Sus scrofa: one gene and its partners. The protein of the gene in region 3 binds, or shares a complex with, the protein of the main gene of each other region. Links are inferred from orthologs where the notes say so. Each region holds a gene or a part of one and is shown on either strand. Other genes may lie near its edges.

The links. The genes of interacting proteins can lie anywhere in the genome.
Region 1: the proteins of NEDD4 (region 3) and GRB10 are in contact, whole or in part, in a crystal structure (PDB 3M7F), measured with the Mus musculus proteins. The link is inferred for Sus scrofa from reciprocal best matches to the Homo sapiens genes NEDD4 and GRB10. Residues at the interface, in NP_035020.2 of Mus musculus: Glu71, Leu72, Val79, Arg104, Ser112, Ile114, Leu115, Thr116, Ser117, Val118, Gln119, Glu134, Ile135, Leu136, Phe137, Arg138, Leu242, Pro243, His244, Pro245, Pro246; in NP_001357532.1 of Mus musculus: Ile514, Arg516, Gln518, His519, Phe521, His522, Gly523, Arg524, Asp548, Gln579, Phe581, Gly587, Asn588, Thr589, Lys590, Phe591, Ser592, Ile595, Gln596, Asp599, Phe600, Leu603, Asn604, Ile617, Arg618, Val619, Ala620.
Region 2: the proteins of NEDD4 (region 3) and ARRDC3 are in contact, whole or in part, in a crystal structure (PDB 4N7H), measured with the Homo sapiens proteins. The link is inferred for Sus scrofa from reciprocal best matches to the Homo sapiens genes NEDD4 and ARRDC3. Residues at the interface, in NP_001271267.1 of Homo sapiens: Glu847, Arg849, Ala851, Pro852, Phe857, Ile859, Asp860, His861, Lys864, Thr865, Thr866, Thr867, Trp868; in NP_065852.1 of Homo sapiens: Glu344, Ala345, Pro346, Pro347, Ser348, Tyr349, Val352.
Region 4: the proteins of NEDD4 (region 3) and GJA1 are in contact, whole or in part, in an NMR structure (PDB 2N8T), measured with the Rattus norvegicus proteins. The link is inferred for Sus scrofa from reciprocal best matches to the Homo sapiens genes NEDD4 and GJA1. Residues at the interface, in NP_037118.1 of Rattus norvegicus: Asp416, Asp417, Tyr422, Val424, Asp425, His426, Ser428, Lys429, Thr430, Thr431, Thr432, Trp433; in NP_036699.1 of Rattus norvegicus: Pro277, Leu278, Ser279, Pro280, Met281, Ser282, Pro283, Pro284, Gly285, Tyr286.

What each region holds. Positions count from the first base shown.
Region 1 is NC_010451.4:136,739,746-136,743,685, forward strand, and holds the start of GRB10 (growth factor receptor-bound protein 10), read right to left. Parts: upstream 2,801-3,940; 5' UTR 2,733-2,800; intron 2,008-2,732; 5' UTR 1,864-2,007; intron 1-1,863.
Region 2 is NC_010444.4:98,441,911-98,445,954, reverse strand, and holds the start of ARRDC3 (arrestin domain-containing protein 3), read left to right. Parts: upstream 1-1,244; 5' UTR 1,245-1,523; coding exon 1,524-1,803; intron 1,804-4,044. UniProt on the Homo sapiens protein: Adapter protein that plays a role in regulating cell-surface expression of adrenergic receptors and probably also other G protein-coupled receptors.
Region 3 is NC_010443.5:116,066,707-116,070,206, reverse strand, and holds the end of NEDD4 (E3 ubiquitin-protein ligase NEDD4), read right to left. Parts: coding exon 3,466-3,500; intron 2,917-3,465; coding exon 2,814-2,916; 3' UTR 323-2,813; downstream 1-322. UniProt on the Homo sapiens protein: E3 ubiquitin-protein ligase which accepts ubiquitin from an E2 ubiquitin-conjugating enzyme in the form of a thioester and then directly transfers the ubiquitin to targeted substrates. Specifically ubiquitinates 'Lys-63' in target proteins.
Region 4 is NC_010443.5:40,999,330-41,003,475, reverse strand, and holds the start of GJA1 (gap junction alpha-1 protein), read left to right. Parts: upstream 1-1,346; 5' UTR 1,347-1,511; intron 1,512-4,146. UniProt on the Homo sapiens protein: Gap junction protein that acts as a regulator of bladder capacity. A gap junction consists of a cluster of closely packed pairs of transmembrane channels, the connexons, through which materials of low MW diffuse from one cell to a neighboring cell.

The sequences.
Region 1 (3,940 bases), on a different chromosome or scaffold from region 3:
CACCCACGGCCTATGGAGGTTCCCAGGCTAGGGGTCGCATCAGAACTGTAGCGGCTGGCCTACATCACAGCCACAGCTACCAGCAGGTCTGAGCCACCTACACAGCTCACAGCAACGCCGGATCCCTAACCCAAGTAGAGCAAGGCCAGGGATCGAGCCTGCGTCTTCATGGATGCTAGGCAGATTCTTCTCTACTGAGCCATGAAGGGAACTCCCCACCCTGGATTTTCCAAAGCTCTGAGATGAAGGCGAAGGCACAGTGACTTTACGCACGACTTCGGTTTCTAGACGATGTGAAGGCTCAGAGCAGCCACATCACCCAAATCCAAAGTTCTGGACCAACTTTTAGGGTCTTCATTTGCTCCTCAACGTCCACAGAGATGTTCACTGTAACTGGGCCAGGCTACCCCGGGTTCCCACCCTGGACAAGCAGCTGGCATGCACCTGCCCAGCACCGGGCTCCCGGTGCACAATGAAAGGCATTCTGCCCAGTCCAGCACTGCCTCAGGCAGTGCAGACCAAGGGCAGTATGGACAGATGACTTGAGGGGGATGCAGCTTTTATTTGAATTTATTTTATTTTAATTTTTCTTTTTAGGACCGCCCCTGCAGCACAGGGAAGTTCCCAGGCCAGAGGTCGAATCAGAGCTGCAGGTGCCGGCCTACACCACAGCCACACTGGATCCAAGCCGCCTCTCTGACTTAGGCCGCAGCCTGCAGCAACACTGAATCCTTAACCCACTGAGCGAGCGAGGCCAGGGATCGAACCCGCCTCCTCACGGACACTATGTCAGGTTCTTAACCTGCTGAGCCACAACGGGAACGCCTACTTTTTATTAAAACACAGTTGTAATTACATAAGCAAAACTACCGTATCAGACTCATGACTACATGAGTTTCCTCTCACATCAGTGTGTATGTAAGGACAAAAAGTGAGTGGACAAAAGAAAACACTGATAACAGCCTGGTGGCAGGCAGAAACCTGGCAGGTGGGGGCCGTGGGAATGGTAACAGGACCTCCTGGTTCCCCGGGTGGGTGACTGGAGGGGAAGCTGCGAGGCCATTTCTCTTTTAGAGGCCGATGTACTTGTACAGAGCATGAACCACACAGGACTGAAAAAAAACCAAAAACCTACAAAACCCGAAAGCTTGGGCTCTGCCATTTGCTGGCCACGTGACTCTGGGCATGCCAAGGAACCTCCTGAGCCTTGGTGTCCAGACCTGTAAAGTGGGGAACGGGGGCTGTAAGGGATCAAAAGCAGTTAGGCTTTGAACATGCCTCTCAAAGTGGGAAATGCTACAGAAGTATCCGTAGCTACACTTCCGAGTTACACCGCAGCTTGCTGGGTGCGTAACTCCCTGTGCCCTCAAATTCCCTCCCTGCGGTGGCCGTCTTCTCTCAAGGGTTCCCAGGAAAACTCGAATATTAGGCGCAGTCATCCTTCAGTTCTGATTTTGAACAGAAAAACCCACTCACCTAGAATCACGCCTGGAAACACTTTGCTTTCCGGGCTTTTCCCTAATAAAATACTACCCTAAAGGACACCTCCATTGCCATCAGTCAGAACTGCTTTTGCTGCAGAAACCTAGATTCTACCTAATTTTCCTCCTGGAAAGAAGGAGGGAAAGTCTAGGTCGGCTCGCGGAAAAATGGCCAGCTTAGTGCTGTAAACCGCAGTCAAAGCGTGCTGCTGGGCTGACATGTGTTCTTAGTAAAACTGAGCGAAACGTTCAAGAAAGCACCATTTCTGAAACTCGGGGGCTCCAAACGGCGGAATCAGCTTTTTCAGAAACAAAGTGCTCCTCGCGGGGCCTCGTCAACAGCAACAAAGAGAAAGTTGTGCAATCACGCGTGTTTACTCACAAGCACTAGTTGTTTGGGCTTTTTCTTCGCATCTCCTGCATGAAGCTGGGTACAGTGTCTGCAAGAAAGCCTGCTCTCCAACGCGTCAGAAAGATCCAGGCCCCGGCGAAGTCACCTGTGGCTCTCCTACTTGACCCACCGTTTCTTCAAAGCAAACGACACAAAGTTGGCATTTCTTCCAATCCCCAAAAAAGACGAACACAATAAAAAGTGGAGACTACCCTCATTTCCATAACGCACATGCTCCTGGGCTGTCGCCAGGCAGGCGTTGGAGAGGCGATCGGCAGAGGCGGAGAGTTGCATCAGAAATTTCCTTCTGTTCAGCTCTTATCACATTTCCCCGGCGGGCAGGCGGCTAATCCGCGAGCCCTCCACTTGGGGCTGGGCCCCGGCGGCGGCGGCGGGTAACGGGGACACCAGCGGAACCCAAGGGAGAGATCCCGAGGCCCGGCCGCGCTCCGCCTCGGGGGTGTCCGGGCCCCAGTGGCCCGGCGCGGGCGCACGGGGGCTGCAAGGGCGCCCACCCCCCGGGCGGCCCGGGAGCGCGGCCTTGGCCTGACGGCCGGCGGGGCAGCCCCTGTCCCAGCCCCGGCCCGGCCCGCGAGCCGCCGGCGTCGGGCGGGATGGTCCCGCAGGCGCCGCCCGGGCTCCCCCGCTGCCCGGGGTCGCGATCGCGCCGCGCCGCGCCGGGTCCCCGCCCTTGCGCGCCGCAGCCCCCGACCCGAGGCGACGCCCTTCCGCCCGCCGCGCCCCCGCGGCGCCCGGCGTCCTCGGCCCGGGCGGCCAGCGCGCAGACAATGACGCCGGGACCGCCGCCCGCCCGCCGGCCACAAAGTAACTTGGCGCCGCGCTCGCGACCAACTCCGTACCTGCCGCGGCGCCGCTCCCGGCCGCCTCCGCCTGGCCGCCCGCCACCCTCGGCGCGGCCGGGGCGGCGCGGGTCCCGCGGGGCGAGGGCGGCGCGCAGGGCGGTCCCGGCTCCCGCGCGCCGCCGCCCGGGGGCTGCGCGCAAACTTTGGGCTCCGCGCGGGTCTCCGCGGCCTCCGAGCGCCCAGCCCGCCGCAGCGCGCCGCTCGCGTCCTTTCCTGCCTCCTCCCGGCCTCCCCACCCCCTCGATGGGCTTTAAATCCGCCCGGCCCCGCCCGCCGCCGCCGCCGCCTCCGCCTCCGCCTCCGCCTCCGCCTCCTCCCCCGGTGGCTTTTCCTGCTCCTCCTCCCGCCACCGCCGCCGCCGCCGCCGCCACCGCCACCGCAGCCCGGACCGCTCGGGGCTGCCAGCGCGGGCGGAGCTGAGGCCTGGGCGCAGGGCGGCGCGCGGGGGGCGCGGGGCCCCGACCACCCGGGCTCGGGCACCCGGGCAGGACGCATCGGACCCAGCCTGGAAGGCAATTTGGAAGCCGGTTCTTTGAAACTCAAGTATGAACTGTGCGGCCCAAATCCTCCCTCGCGGGCGCAGCGGGAGGACCAGACAGAGTTGCTGCGGCCCCCGGGCAACGGTTACCTGGGCTGGAGAGTCCAGTCGCCGCCAGCAGGGGCTGGAGCCTCGACTCCCATCAGCGTGTCAGTATCGGGCGGTGGAGGGGGGAGGCCTCAGGACTGGTCTCGGGGCCATCGGGCCTCAAAGTCCTCATCTTCGAAATGGGCTCCTAAGCCCGCCTCGGTGATGAAGTCCTGGGGTTAAAGGAGGTGTTCCTCGCAACCTACAGCGACTGGCCAGAAGGAACCCCGGAATTCATGGGAGCCATTGGCATTGCTATAACGATGACTGTCTCTGCTGAGTCAAAATGCGAATACAAATAGGGTAATAACAATAATTACGCCTTCCTCTGGGTTTTGATGTTCTAGACGCAGTAATAGCTGAGCTTTCTTGAGCATGTGTTTGGTGCCACACGTTCCTCAGTCCTCTTAATTAGGCCCCACACTGGCCCTAGGAGACACCCACTGTAGGGACTGGGGAATGAATCCCTCAGAGGTTAAGTAACTTGCGGGAGGCCGAGTCGCTGGTGAGTGCGGAGGGAGGATTCTGCTCGAACCCTTTAGGGCACTTTTTATAGCTCTGCCTTGTCCCACCTTTGGCG
Region 2 (4,044 bases), on a different chromosome or scaffold from region 3:
TTTCTTCCTATATTTCTCTTCTATAAGCAATTTTGTTGAATGCAAAAAATCTATATAGGTTTATGCTGTTATGCCTTGAATCCCAGTGATTTTTATGAAAGCATTGTTATTTGCTATCAAAACGTTCACAATAAAGAGACAAATGTATCTGTCCTTAAGATAGATGTATTATGAGAATTACTGGGTTGAACAGTCCAAGGCTGAAAGTTAAAATTAAAACTTTACAGAATTAAGCCCTATTTATATAACAAATTCTCTCTTAAAGAACCATCTTCTGCGCCTCACTAACTTCTAACAAAAATTTTTCAATCCTGTTGTAAACATTACGTCAGCTAAAACGCAGTGATGCAGCCTTTTATAAGGTAGTACTTTTTAGGCCGAACTCTATTCTTAATCCTTTGGACACAGGAGTTGTAATCATGTCATACCCTGCAAATCTAGCTGTAGGTGGTATCTCAAAAAAGGACTTTTTTCTTTCTTCGAGGAAGTGGTCAAACCTTTTTTCCCCTGATGTCATCATGCAAACAACCTGGTTGCTTTTCATTGCTATCGAATTAAGAGAAGAGAAAGCAAAACATACTGAGTACATTTTTTTGCTTCTCTTCCTTGCTCCGTGTAGTATTCTCTTTTAGTCTGGATTTGGCCTCCACAGAGCTCATTTCTTCACTGCCTACAAAGCACTGGTTTAAATAAACAAACAAACAGTGCAGGCCAAGAATGCTCTTGTCCGTGAATATCATTGCTTCTCTAGTTTTTATTACATTTTCTTTTGAAATTCATTAGATTATGCTCAGCAGCCCTTGCCCAACCGGTTTCTTCCCTTCCCCCATCTCTCTACACACATCACTTTTGCTTCCTTCCCTCCGGGGAATGGGCAAACCCCTACAGCGCCGGTAACGCACTCTCCCGGCTTGGTCACTCATCAGTTTGTCTTTACTTGGCTTTGCAAACAGTTCCCCACCCAACCTTGTCCCCCAGTGCCCCCTCGGCCATTATCTTTCTGCCGGAGTATGCTCGATAAGGGACTCCAGATAGCACGTCGAGGGTTTACGGTAGCCTGCCTACCAATAGGAACCCACAATGAAGAGAAGTCAGGTTCGGCCTCCCGGCAGCCCCACTGCCGTCTTCCTTGGTTGTACACCTACTGTACCCGCGAGCGAGCGAGCCAGGGAGCGAGCCCGGCGCGGGAGGGGGCGCGCAGGGAGGGCGACAGCAGCCGCGGCGTGCGCATGCGCCCTGGGGTTGTTTTTCACAAAGCTGCTCTTAAAGTGAGCTGGCAGGTTCCAGCCGCCCGTCTTTGTAAGGAGACCACTGAGACTAGCAGGAGCGAGGAGCAGCAGCCTCTCTGCTGCCTTGACTTTTTAAGAAATCTCAATGAACTGTTTGTAAAGAATCACTGATCCTGCCTGTAAGCTTTTTGCACGGCAAAGACATCGATCAGTGTTAAGTGAAGATCACATTTTATATGTGTTCTTGACTTTTTTTTGTCTTACATTATATTTTTTATAGATTTTGTTACAAACATGGTGCTGGGAAAGGTAAAGAGTTTGACAATAAGCTTTGACTGTCTTAATGACAGCAATGTCCCTGTGTATTCCAGTGGGGATACAGTCTCAGGAAGGGTGAATTTAGAAGTTACTGGGGAAATCAGAGTAAAATCTCTTAAAATTCATGCAAGAGGACATGCGAAAGTACGCTGGACCGAATCGAGAAACGCCGGCTCCAATACTGCCTACACACAGAATTACACTGAAGAAGTAGAATATTTCAATCATAAAGACATCTTAATTGGACACGAAAGAGGTAAGTTTTTACATTATTCAGAAATTATTACACCTATTTTCTTTGGGAAAGTATCTGTTCAATTTCTCTGAATTAATGTAATGTTACTCCTAGCATAAAATATAGCAGTTTGATAAATGTTAGCAAAGTTAGCCAAGATTTGAATTCTCCTTGACTTTCATCGTGTGTTAAGCCATAATGCATGCAGGCATCTGCAAAGTGACTGCAAACTGCACTTATTCAACTACCTCTATACCCGGCTTGATCTGTGCCATACGCGCTTGCAGTCTATTTCCACCTTATAAATTCTGCTTAAATCCGAGGCAGTAATTTTACTGATACGTTTTCAAATGAATTGCTAAAAGCTGCAGTCCAATATTAGATTTTTTCCTTGTTCTGTGGAACCTTAGATCTTAAAAATTAAGCCTCAATGAAGAAATGAAATAACATTTTTAAGTGGGTTAATGGGTGTACTTCATTTTTAATATTGACACTCAAAGACTTTAGAGAATTGATTGTTGTTCTTTGATAAAGGGTTTCTGTGGCTTATTTTGACATATGGTATGAACACCCCACGTGTTTTTTCCCTATTCTTTCCAGTTCCTTTAGAAATTTACATCAAGCCTTCTCTATTTTAAAGGACAATACCAATCATTATGATATGTTTCAAATCGGTTTTAGAAGCCATTTAAAGTCAATTTTTTTTTTTCTGAGCATCATGCCTAACTTTGGAACTGCATTCAATGAAACCTAAGCCAGTCAAAAGGAATTGAAAAGTATTCGGCTCATTTGGATTTGATTTTTGGTTATAAAAGGGAGATAAAGGGTTGTCAAAGGGAGAAGGGGTCCTGAGATTTCCAATCTATTGTTTAAATGGTCACATTGTGGAAATATAGGAGACTCTAAGCTTGTTTTTCTAAGTTTCCACCCTTTGTTAGAAGCGGTTCAATCCTGTTTCGGACCAGTTCTAGGGGGTGGTGAGGAGGGGCGCTTGTTCTGCTCTCAGCAGATTGGTTACACGCGTCAGGTGGTGGGGATGACTTAATTCCTAGCCCAAGAAGAATATAATGTTAAAACTGGTTATGTAATTTTGTGCTTCTCCTTTTTAATGCAGTATTTAGTTCTAATGTTGGCCATTTCTCGAAGAGTAGAGCACATTTTTACCTCTTTTTTTATACTAAAAAATACCCATCCATGAGGAAGTGCTAATTGAACTAAGGCAAGTGCAGAAATGTAGGGGTGCTTTGAGTTACAGCATCTTAATGCATTATTTTAACAAATTTTAAGATGAAATCTGTTTTGTTGGGTTTTAACTTGCACATAGGTCATTTGCATCCTGAAATAATTTCTAGTTAATATCTCCAACCATTGACACCGCTTAGAAATGCAGCTGCTTAATGACAGTCCTGGTGTTTGTTGAACAGCACACACACGAGTTTGTATTTGAACCTTCCTGGACTGGCAGCTTTTTATAATACATGGGTGAGAAAAAAACAAAGGTTTTTAAGGAGTTGAGGTTTGCGGTGAGGCAAAAGTAGAATAACGATTTATGGGGACAAACACAATTTCATTAGTTGCGCTATGATTTCATAGTAAAGAAAAACTGTGTGTCCTGAACTCCACGGAGATGCCTCTCAACCCTTGCAAAGCATGGACGAGCCTTTAGCCTGGAATAGTTTCAATGACTTAAAACTGGGACCTCTCAAACTAGCCTGGAAATTGAGACCCCGCCCCGGGCGGCCAGCGATAGGCGGAGCCGGGTTTGTTAGCCTGTTGCTAAGGCGATGCCAGGCTCTGATTGGATTGGGTGCAGGCGGGTGGGGAGAGTAGGCTCGCCGGCTGGGGCGAGGCTTGGAACCGGCGTGCGCCGGTAAAGGTCCCTCCTGAGCAGCCACCCCCGCCCGTTCTCGCGTCTGCGTTGCGGGCTCCTGGAAGCAACCGTAGTTCCTGTCACATATTGTTCTGTTTGCCTCTCACTTGAGCCTGTGCAGCCCCCTCCCCCATGGAATAGCTTAAGGTTTTGAAGAGTAGAGGAGAGATGCTTTTGCTGGCCTGATAGTTGCCCAAGGGTCCTGGGTGCAACTTTTTAGCTCAAGATCTATATACAGGGAAGTTGGGCCAGCATGGTCAACAGGATCTTGTTTTCCAGTTTTTCGGGTGGAAGTTGTCAGGCGGCTTCCGTGAAGGCTTGCCTTCCTCCTAGCTGAAACAAAGCGACTTTCCCTATCTAGGCACTCATCAGACTGGCTACCTTGATTTGAC
Region 3 (3,500 bases):
TTCCCATATGAGAAGATTTTTTAAAAACAATGTCAAGTGTCTTATAATCAAAACAAATTGTTTAACGATACTTATCTGGGATAATTTCAGCATTATAAATAAAACATGAAAACATACCCATTTAAGTTAGGATGAAATGCATCTGTAATACAATTTTATGCCAAAATTTGGTTGAATACAGAGAAAATAGAAGCTAAAATTATGTGCTTATAATTTCTAAAACAAATATGATGTCCTTGCTTTACAAGAATGACCCTATTTACTTGCCAGCCATAGAATGCATTTGGGATACTCTGCTGTCTGGGATGAGGGGCTGCGTTGCTTGATTATAGGTTCCTTCCAGACCATCAGTGCGTATCTGGGAGATGAAGAGGATGAGGGTCCATGGCTGGGGCCTGGGGGCTGGGGACCGGGGGAAGTGTCTGGTCTCATTAACACCCTGTTTTATCTGAGTCACAGAATCATCCAAGTGAATGAGTCAGATGAAAAGCAAGCTTTATACTTTCTCAAGCTCCGATTTCTGCTATATTTCACAGAAGTGATACTTAAACAATCATGTGGTAAAATCCTGTTTTAACAAAAATAGTTTTCACATTCAGTTCTACATAATAAGAACATTCCAAAATGCATTGGCCCGTATCAGTATTACTTTGCTCATGTGGAGAAAATGAATTTGTATGGTAAGGTCCATGTACAGATAAACACATGATTACATATATCTGCACGTATTCAATATCAGATGTTCCTACTTCCTTGCCTGATCGCAGTCATTTTATTTTTAAATGAAGAGACTTTTCTTTGGGAGTGTAGTTCATGTTCACACCTGATTTGACAAAATCTGATGGTCAGCACAAAGCACCTTTCAATTGTATGATACTTTGCAAAGCATCTCTCTGGAGTTTACAACAATCTTACATGACAATGACAGCAGCCATGATTATTTTCCTTTGACAGGTGAAGAACCAAGAGCCCAGAGACGTTGAGTACATGGCTTCAGTTTAAATATTTACTAAGTGATAAAGTTAGGGCTACATCTGGTGGTCTCCCCTAAAAGCTGGTTAGCACAGGTGAAGATAAGATACAGGGTGCACTGATCTGTGAATTACTCTCCCTAAGCTGAGCTGCTGATGCCATGTTTGGAAAGTGGTTTTGCTTCTGTCACATGTGCTCAAAGGTACTCATTGTGTTAGAACAAACTTGAACCAATAGCCAGATGCACTTTTTACAACTCTGAGTATATATGTGTGTGTGTGTGTGTCACACACATATATGTATATATATGTATTTAAGAAGATTCATAACATATATTTACAATTATTCCTAAATCACCAAGATACCATATTGAGAAATAGCTTTAACTTTTTGCAAGAGCATTTTCTATATAATCATTCCAATATAGGTATAAAACATATAAATACAGTCTTGGCACACTTTATCTTTGCAGGTGCATGGAACACTTTCCCTTTTGCCTTATCCTGCTCACCCTGACTTTTGATTGTTTGAAAATTCCTTTGCATATCTCCAAGCTTCTTGAGGGTGAAGATTCAGCTAGATATCTTTGAAGCTGCTAACTCTCACCCCAGGGCCTAGCACAGACCTAGGCATATAGCAGGCATTCAGTAAATATTTGCTGAATGCACAGGATTTTTATGTACTTCAGTTTGGCTAAAGTAGGAGTTTATCTGTAGCATTTTGCCTAAAGAATTTTGGATTTAGAGCAAAACATTTTCATAGTAAACAGTATTTTTAAAAAGCATAAGAAATATGGTAACAAATTTAATACAAATTATGCATTATAACTATTCTTTGGTTACTTTTAACAAATTATTTGGTTTTTTGACTAAAGTGAAATACTAAAAATACAAAAATGCAACTACAGAAATTAGCTTGCCTGTAAACATAATAAATCCTGTAAACATATATTTACTACATAATTGTGCAAGTGTAAAGAATGACTAGTAAAGGCAAGTATTGTACATTTGACTTAGTTCTTCAAGGCATATTTAGGAATACTGCTTTGTTGAGCTTTAGTTTGAAGAAGGAATTCTTTTTAACTAAACTAAAACAGGAAAGAGTGAATGACTCTACCAATGAGCCAGAAAGATATACAGGCAAGACGGAGGCATTAATACCTTTCACCCTTTGCAAATCCGAGTTTGCTTCACATGTCTCATGAACCACCTTGTTTAGTAAAACCACATATTAACAAAAGCCAAATACTTTTAAAATGAACAAGTAAACAGCTTTTTGCAAGTGAGTCATTTGACTAAAAATATAGGTAACACACTTTCCAAGATTTTTTCAAAAATCTGGGCAGTAAGGTGCAGTAGGCAGGTCTACAAAACAATAACTAGCTGCAGGCAGCACTGAATATACTGTAGCATATTCAGTATTAATGTTTTTTCCCCCAACTTTGGTTTTCCTTCTCAAAAAGCATCAAACTTTTCACACACGACACTTATCACAACTATTTTCACAGTTATAATTTCAGTAGTTTAAGAAAGAACTGCCTGGCAAATCTGTAAAAGAGGTAAATGTTAAGGACAAAACTCACAATTTCAGGCACACAGGACTTATATCCTAGAGTGTGAACTTACGATAGAACAAAACACCTGGGTCAGTGCGACACAGGATTTAAGTGAATGAAATAGTGGCAAAGTTGTCATACTATTTCTTCTAATGTTTTGATAGGATTTTCTCCAATATCTGGGAAAAATCAACAGCCAAGGGTTAGTAATTCCCTACAAAATATTAAGTCAAGATTTTGCTTATAAAAAAGTGGCAGTAAAACACCAGAGATTGTTACTTGGAATCTAATCAACACCATCAAAACCTTGAGTGTTCTCGATGGCCATCTGAAGTTTATCCCACAATTCTTCAAATGATTCATAGGGTGGCAAGTCCAAGCGATTAAAGCTGAAAGAAAAGAGAGGGGCTGGTTATGATGAACACTGACAAAGCAAGTTCTCAGGCAAACTTTTCATAGTGCCATGATATGTTCCAACACTAAATACTCAACAACTTCACGAGATGTTCCAACACTAAAAGACCTTTTCTCCCCAGGGAGAAGGAAGGTTTAAGATCAGACTCTGGGCATGGACTGTCTCCATGACCTCTTGGTGGTGACTTCTCAGCTCCACCTTGACCTCCAAATGAGGAAGTTCTAGCCTCTCTTGGGATGGCTCGTCATTCATGTGATGGAGACAACATATGGTCAAAAATTTAGATGGGCCTCTCCAAGGTTCAGCTACCTGGACTTCAAGCCCAGGTCTGCCTGGAAAAGAAACACTTGTTCCTGGGTTGGTGTCACTGTCTCCCTGTCCTCCTCCTCCTCTCCCCATCCCTTGTCTCTTCCACAGCTGCCACCAACACAGCACAGAGGGAACTAGACCCTCTGTACCTAGACTGTTAGAGGACCTTCTTTCTCTGAAGACTTGTTCTCTAGGGTGAGGAAACTGCTTTTACCATGTGTGGGCTCTTGGCAGCTTCTCAGGAGTGCC
Region 4 (4,146 bases), about 75 Mb from region 3:
AGCCAGCAAATGAAAGAGCAAAATTGTGTATTAAAACTACAACCTTTCAAAAAGTGCCTTATTAGTCATTTCAATGAAATGAAATTTAGGCAAAGGTATCTATCAGAAAATACTTCCTATCCTACTTGTTTTTTTTTTTTCCTCCTAGTATTTGTATTAGTAAGGAGTATCCCCGCTGGATGAGTTTGCTTTATTTCCAGAGAATAATGCCCAAGAGAGTTCCCTGCCCAACCCCAGGAGCATCACTGAAGCCAGTTTATGAGGAACTCTCCTACCACAGCCCTCTAGTGTAGCCTCTGAACAGACCTCAAAGGACCCGGCCACTCTGAGACTGAGGACACATGACTCAGGCTGTTATAAACCCTAGTGCAGACTGTTGAAGAGGGAGGGCCCTGGAAGTGGTGGAAAAGCACATAAAAACTATACCCAGATCTCTGTGGTCAGCAGCAGAAAACTCTCCAGTGGGTTTTAAGGAGAGAGATGGTCTCAAGGAAAGCTGAGAGTTTCGGGCCTTAACATTTGAATTTTCCATAAAAAATATCCTGACATTTCACTACAAAAGAGAGTTCATTTTTGGCATGAATGGGGCTAGGATATTATAAATTTTCAGTTCCCCAGAGATTTGGTAGAGGTCAGATAGGAAGATTTAACAGTCAAAAAGTATTATAATACAGTTATGAATATAAATATATATATTTTTTGCAAAACTGTGGGAAAGAATGAAATTTAAAGCAGTCAAGGAGTTGAGAGGTGGATTTGGGATGGGCATACCATCCTAAAATGTTCGTTTTTCAAATTTCTCAATCCCATCTCCATTTCCTTTGTTAATTGTCCCTTTAAACTAAGAGGGGAGGAATTAGCTCATCAAATAACTCACTCACACCCACCTTTACACACACCTTGGCCAATAGGAAGTTTGCCCTGGCTGTACACTTTTCCACCACTTTAATTTAGTGTAATATATACATATATTACAGGAAATAAAATCTTAGAAAAGGTAGTAATAATATAAAATACATTACTTTTTATTATCCCTGGACTTTGGGTGAAAAAAGCACTAACTAAAACCCGTAATTGTTACTGTAAGAAGTAACTACAAGTAATGGCATTCAGGTCTCTAATGCCATTTCATGTCTCTCGTCAGCAGTTTTAAAGTTGGACTTCATCTGGACCTAGCTACTCCTCTGCCTCTTCGCCCGCCCCACCCCTCTCGGCTGCCGGCCTCCTCGCCACTCTCCCGCCCGCCTTTCCTCTTCCCCACCCCTTTCTCCTAGCCCCTCCTCCTTGTTGAGTCAGTGGCTTGAAACTTTTAAAAGCTCAGTGCTCCAAGTAAGAAAAAAGCTTTTACGAGGTATCAGCACTTTTCTTTCATTAGGGGGAAGGAGTGAGGAAAGTACCAAACAGCAGCAGACTTTTAAACTTTAAATAGACAGGTCTGAGTGCCTGAACTTGCTTTTTCATTTTACTTCATCCTCTGAGGCGTGCCTACTTCACTTCTTTTAAGGGAAAGAGTAAGTTTTCAAAAAGGACTTTACCTATTTCTTTCTTTTTCTACAATTAAAACTTTGCTAAAGTTTTTTAAAGTGTTAAATGTAGCTTTGATATGATATAAAGGGAATGATGAACTTGAAATGTCTAGTTTTAAAGTTAAAATGGAACTTACGGTATTTATTTTTTGACTGTTAAAAAGTTATCTTTTAATAATGCAACAGGTAGATAAGATTCATACCTTTCTGGATATTTGGTTGGTTCCTCATTTTAGAGTAGAATTTCACTTTTTTTGGTAATTAGTAATAGTCTAGACGCTTTGTAACTTTTGGGGTGGGGTGTGGTTTGGGGGGCCTAGGTTGGGGGTTTGACTGGCTACAACGAAAAAAATCAAAGTGCAAAGATGCCTAGAGTGCTTGCTATAGAATTCTACGCTTTGTGCTTTTTCATATGGAAATCTTGATTGATGTTCTCTAGCCTTGAAAAGCAGACTTCTTAACAAAGTGCTTTGTTAAGACCTTGCGGTTACTTGACTTCCACGTGGTCTCTTCGTAGAATTTCCCCCGGTAAACAAAAAGGTGTAAAAATACGGGTTGTAATGCTGAGGTTCTTAAAGCAACAGTAAAGAGTTAACTTTGTGTTAGCCGCCACTAGGGAAAAATCTTGAGACCCTCAGGGAAGCCACCTTTGACTCGACCACGTTGGCAATTCAGGAGGTGAAATCTCTTGAATGCCTGCCTGCTCGTTACTTACAAAGCGTTAAGTTAGGGCGAGAACAGAAGTTTAGAAAAGAGTGCATGTCAGGGTGCATTTTCAAAACGGTCTCCTAAGACAGGGGCTCCTAGAGAGAATATGAAACGAAATTTCTTAAGACAGCGCCTTAGAGGGAGCTACCGCCCCCCCCCCAACCCCGACACACACACACGCGCGCGAGCGCGCACACACACACACACACAAACACACTGCCACCACCTTCTGCTTGTCCGAACCTGCCACACACTAAAGAGCTCTGGGGCAACTTTTTTGAGTTTGAGCCGCCAGGGTGCTGCCAGGAGGCAAAGATAAAGACGATTTGTCATTTTTAAAGGTTCAATTTCTTACATGCTCTTGTGAGTAACCCACATTCTTTTAGCCTGAAATGCAGCCATGCATTTTCGTGCCCGGTAAGGATTTTGTCTGTTCTAATTCCAGGGACTGAAGTAATTAGTTTAAATTCTTGCTGTGACCCTACAGTTTGAAGTATTTGCACCAGAGAGTGCTCAAAAGCACATAAAAATGAAAGCTTTGGGGAAGGAGGACGGGGGCCTGGGGCCGGGCGGGCGCGGGGTGCCTCCTGCCATTTTAGCATCCGCCTGGCTCGCCCCGGCTCCTGGGCTGCCCCGGCCTCCAGGTTTTGGAAAGGTTTGCGGATATTTCCCTCAAATGCTTAAAAGTTAAACCCAGTGCAGGTCTGAGTTCCGCCACTGGAAGGGAAGGGGTGGGAGCGGTGGAGGTGGGTTTGAAGGAGATGGACATCATGCCGAATGGTAAAAGAATAGCAAATGATTAATTGAATTAAATGTGTCAATCTAATTTCCCTTTTCTCTCACCGCCATCCGCAGTGCCCTTTTTTTCTTTTTCTTTTTTTCCAAACCTGTTGAATCCTAGTGTGTAAGCCATGACGAGGAAACCTGAGTACCTTGGAAATTAATGTGTCTAAATGACACTTGTAACTCTTCAGTAAGTTCTCGAAATTTCCTAAGAATCCGGGGGTGGGGAGCGGGTAGGGGAGCGCAGAGGAAGCCACGTAATGAAATGAGTAAAGACCTAATGACATGTCCAGGAGTAAATCAGTACAGAATTTGGAAATTCAACTTTTGAGTTCCTAGCAGCGGATCGACCACAGTATCCTACTGATTAGCCCTCCAGATGTTTACAGAGCATCTCCCATAAAGTTTATCAAAAGCCCTCCTTGAGCAACCTCATCCTTATCCTAAGGTTGCCTGTACTCCCAGAGTACAAAGAGGAGCACTATAAACTTGGAAAAATAGACATTGTTGCATTTGGAGGTGGGTTTAATTTCTTCTGCCTTCCAAACCAAGTTAGTAATAAGAAGATGCTTAATCTCACCCTCTGAAAATTAGGCACATTTGAATTTAGTCTAAAATGAAGAGGCAATTTGAAGAGTAGATTATGAAAATTTTTCCTAAAGCCTAACTTTTGAACAAGGATTCTTGAAAATAAAATCCTGTAGTAATAGAGATTTAATTAAATTAGCCCTGTCCCTAAAATAGAAATAAGCCACTTAGGTAGAAAATACTTCAGGGAAAGAGTAATTCTTCTAGGTAGGCCGAGTTGCCAGAACGATGGCAATGGTAGAAAAACATTTTGTCGTGGCAAGATGTTTGTGTTGTGCTTAGTAGTTCTCCAAGTCAGGGTGTGGTTGTCACCCGTCCTTTGCTTGGAAAATGCTTTGATAATGCTTTAATTCTACTCTCTTCACTGTTTAAACATGTTCCCATTTTTCTACTACCTTTTATAGTTGATCACCACAGCTGCCCCAAACACTCAATTCCTCACCCTTTACAGTACAATTCCTACATTGCTGGCCCTTCCCAGGAAACAAAGTTCCAAGCAAGCATCCGAAAGGGTGTGTTTTCAGATACTGAGAGTTGTTTT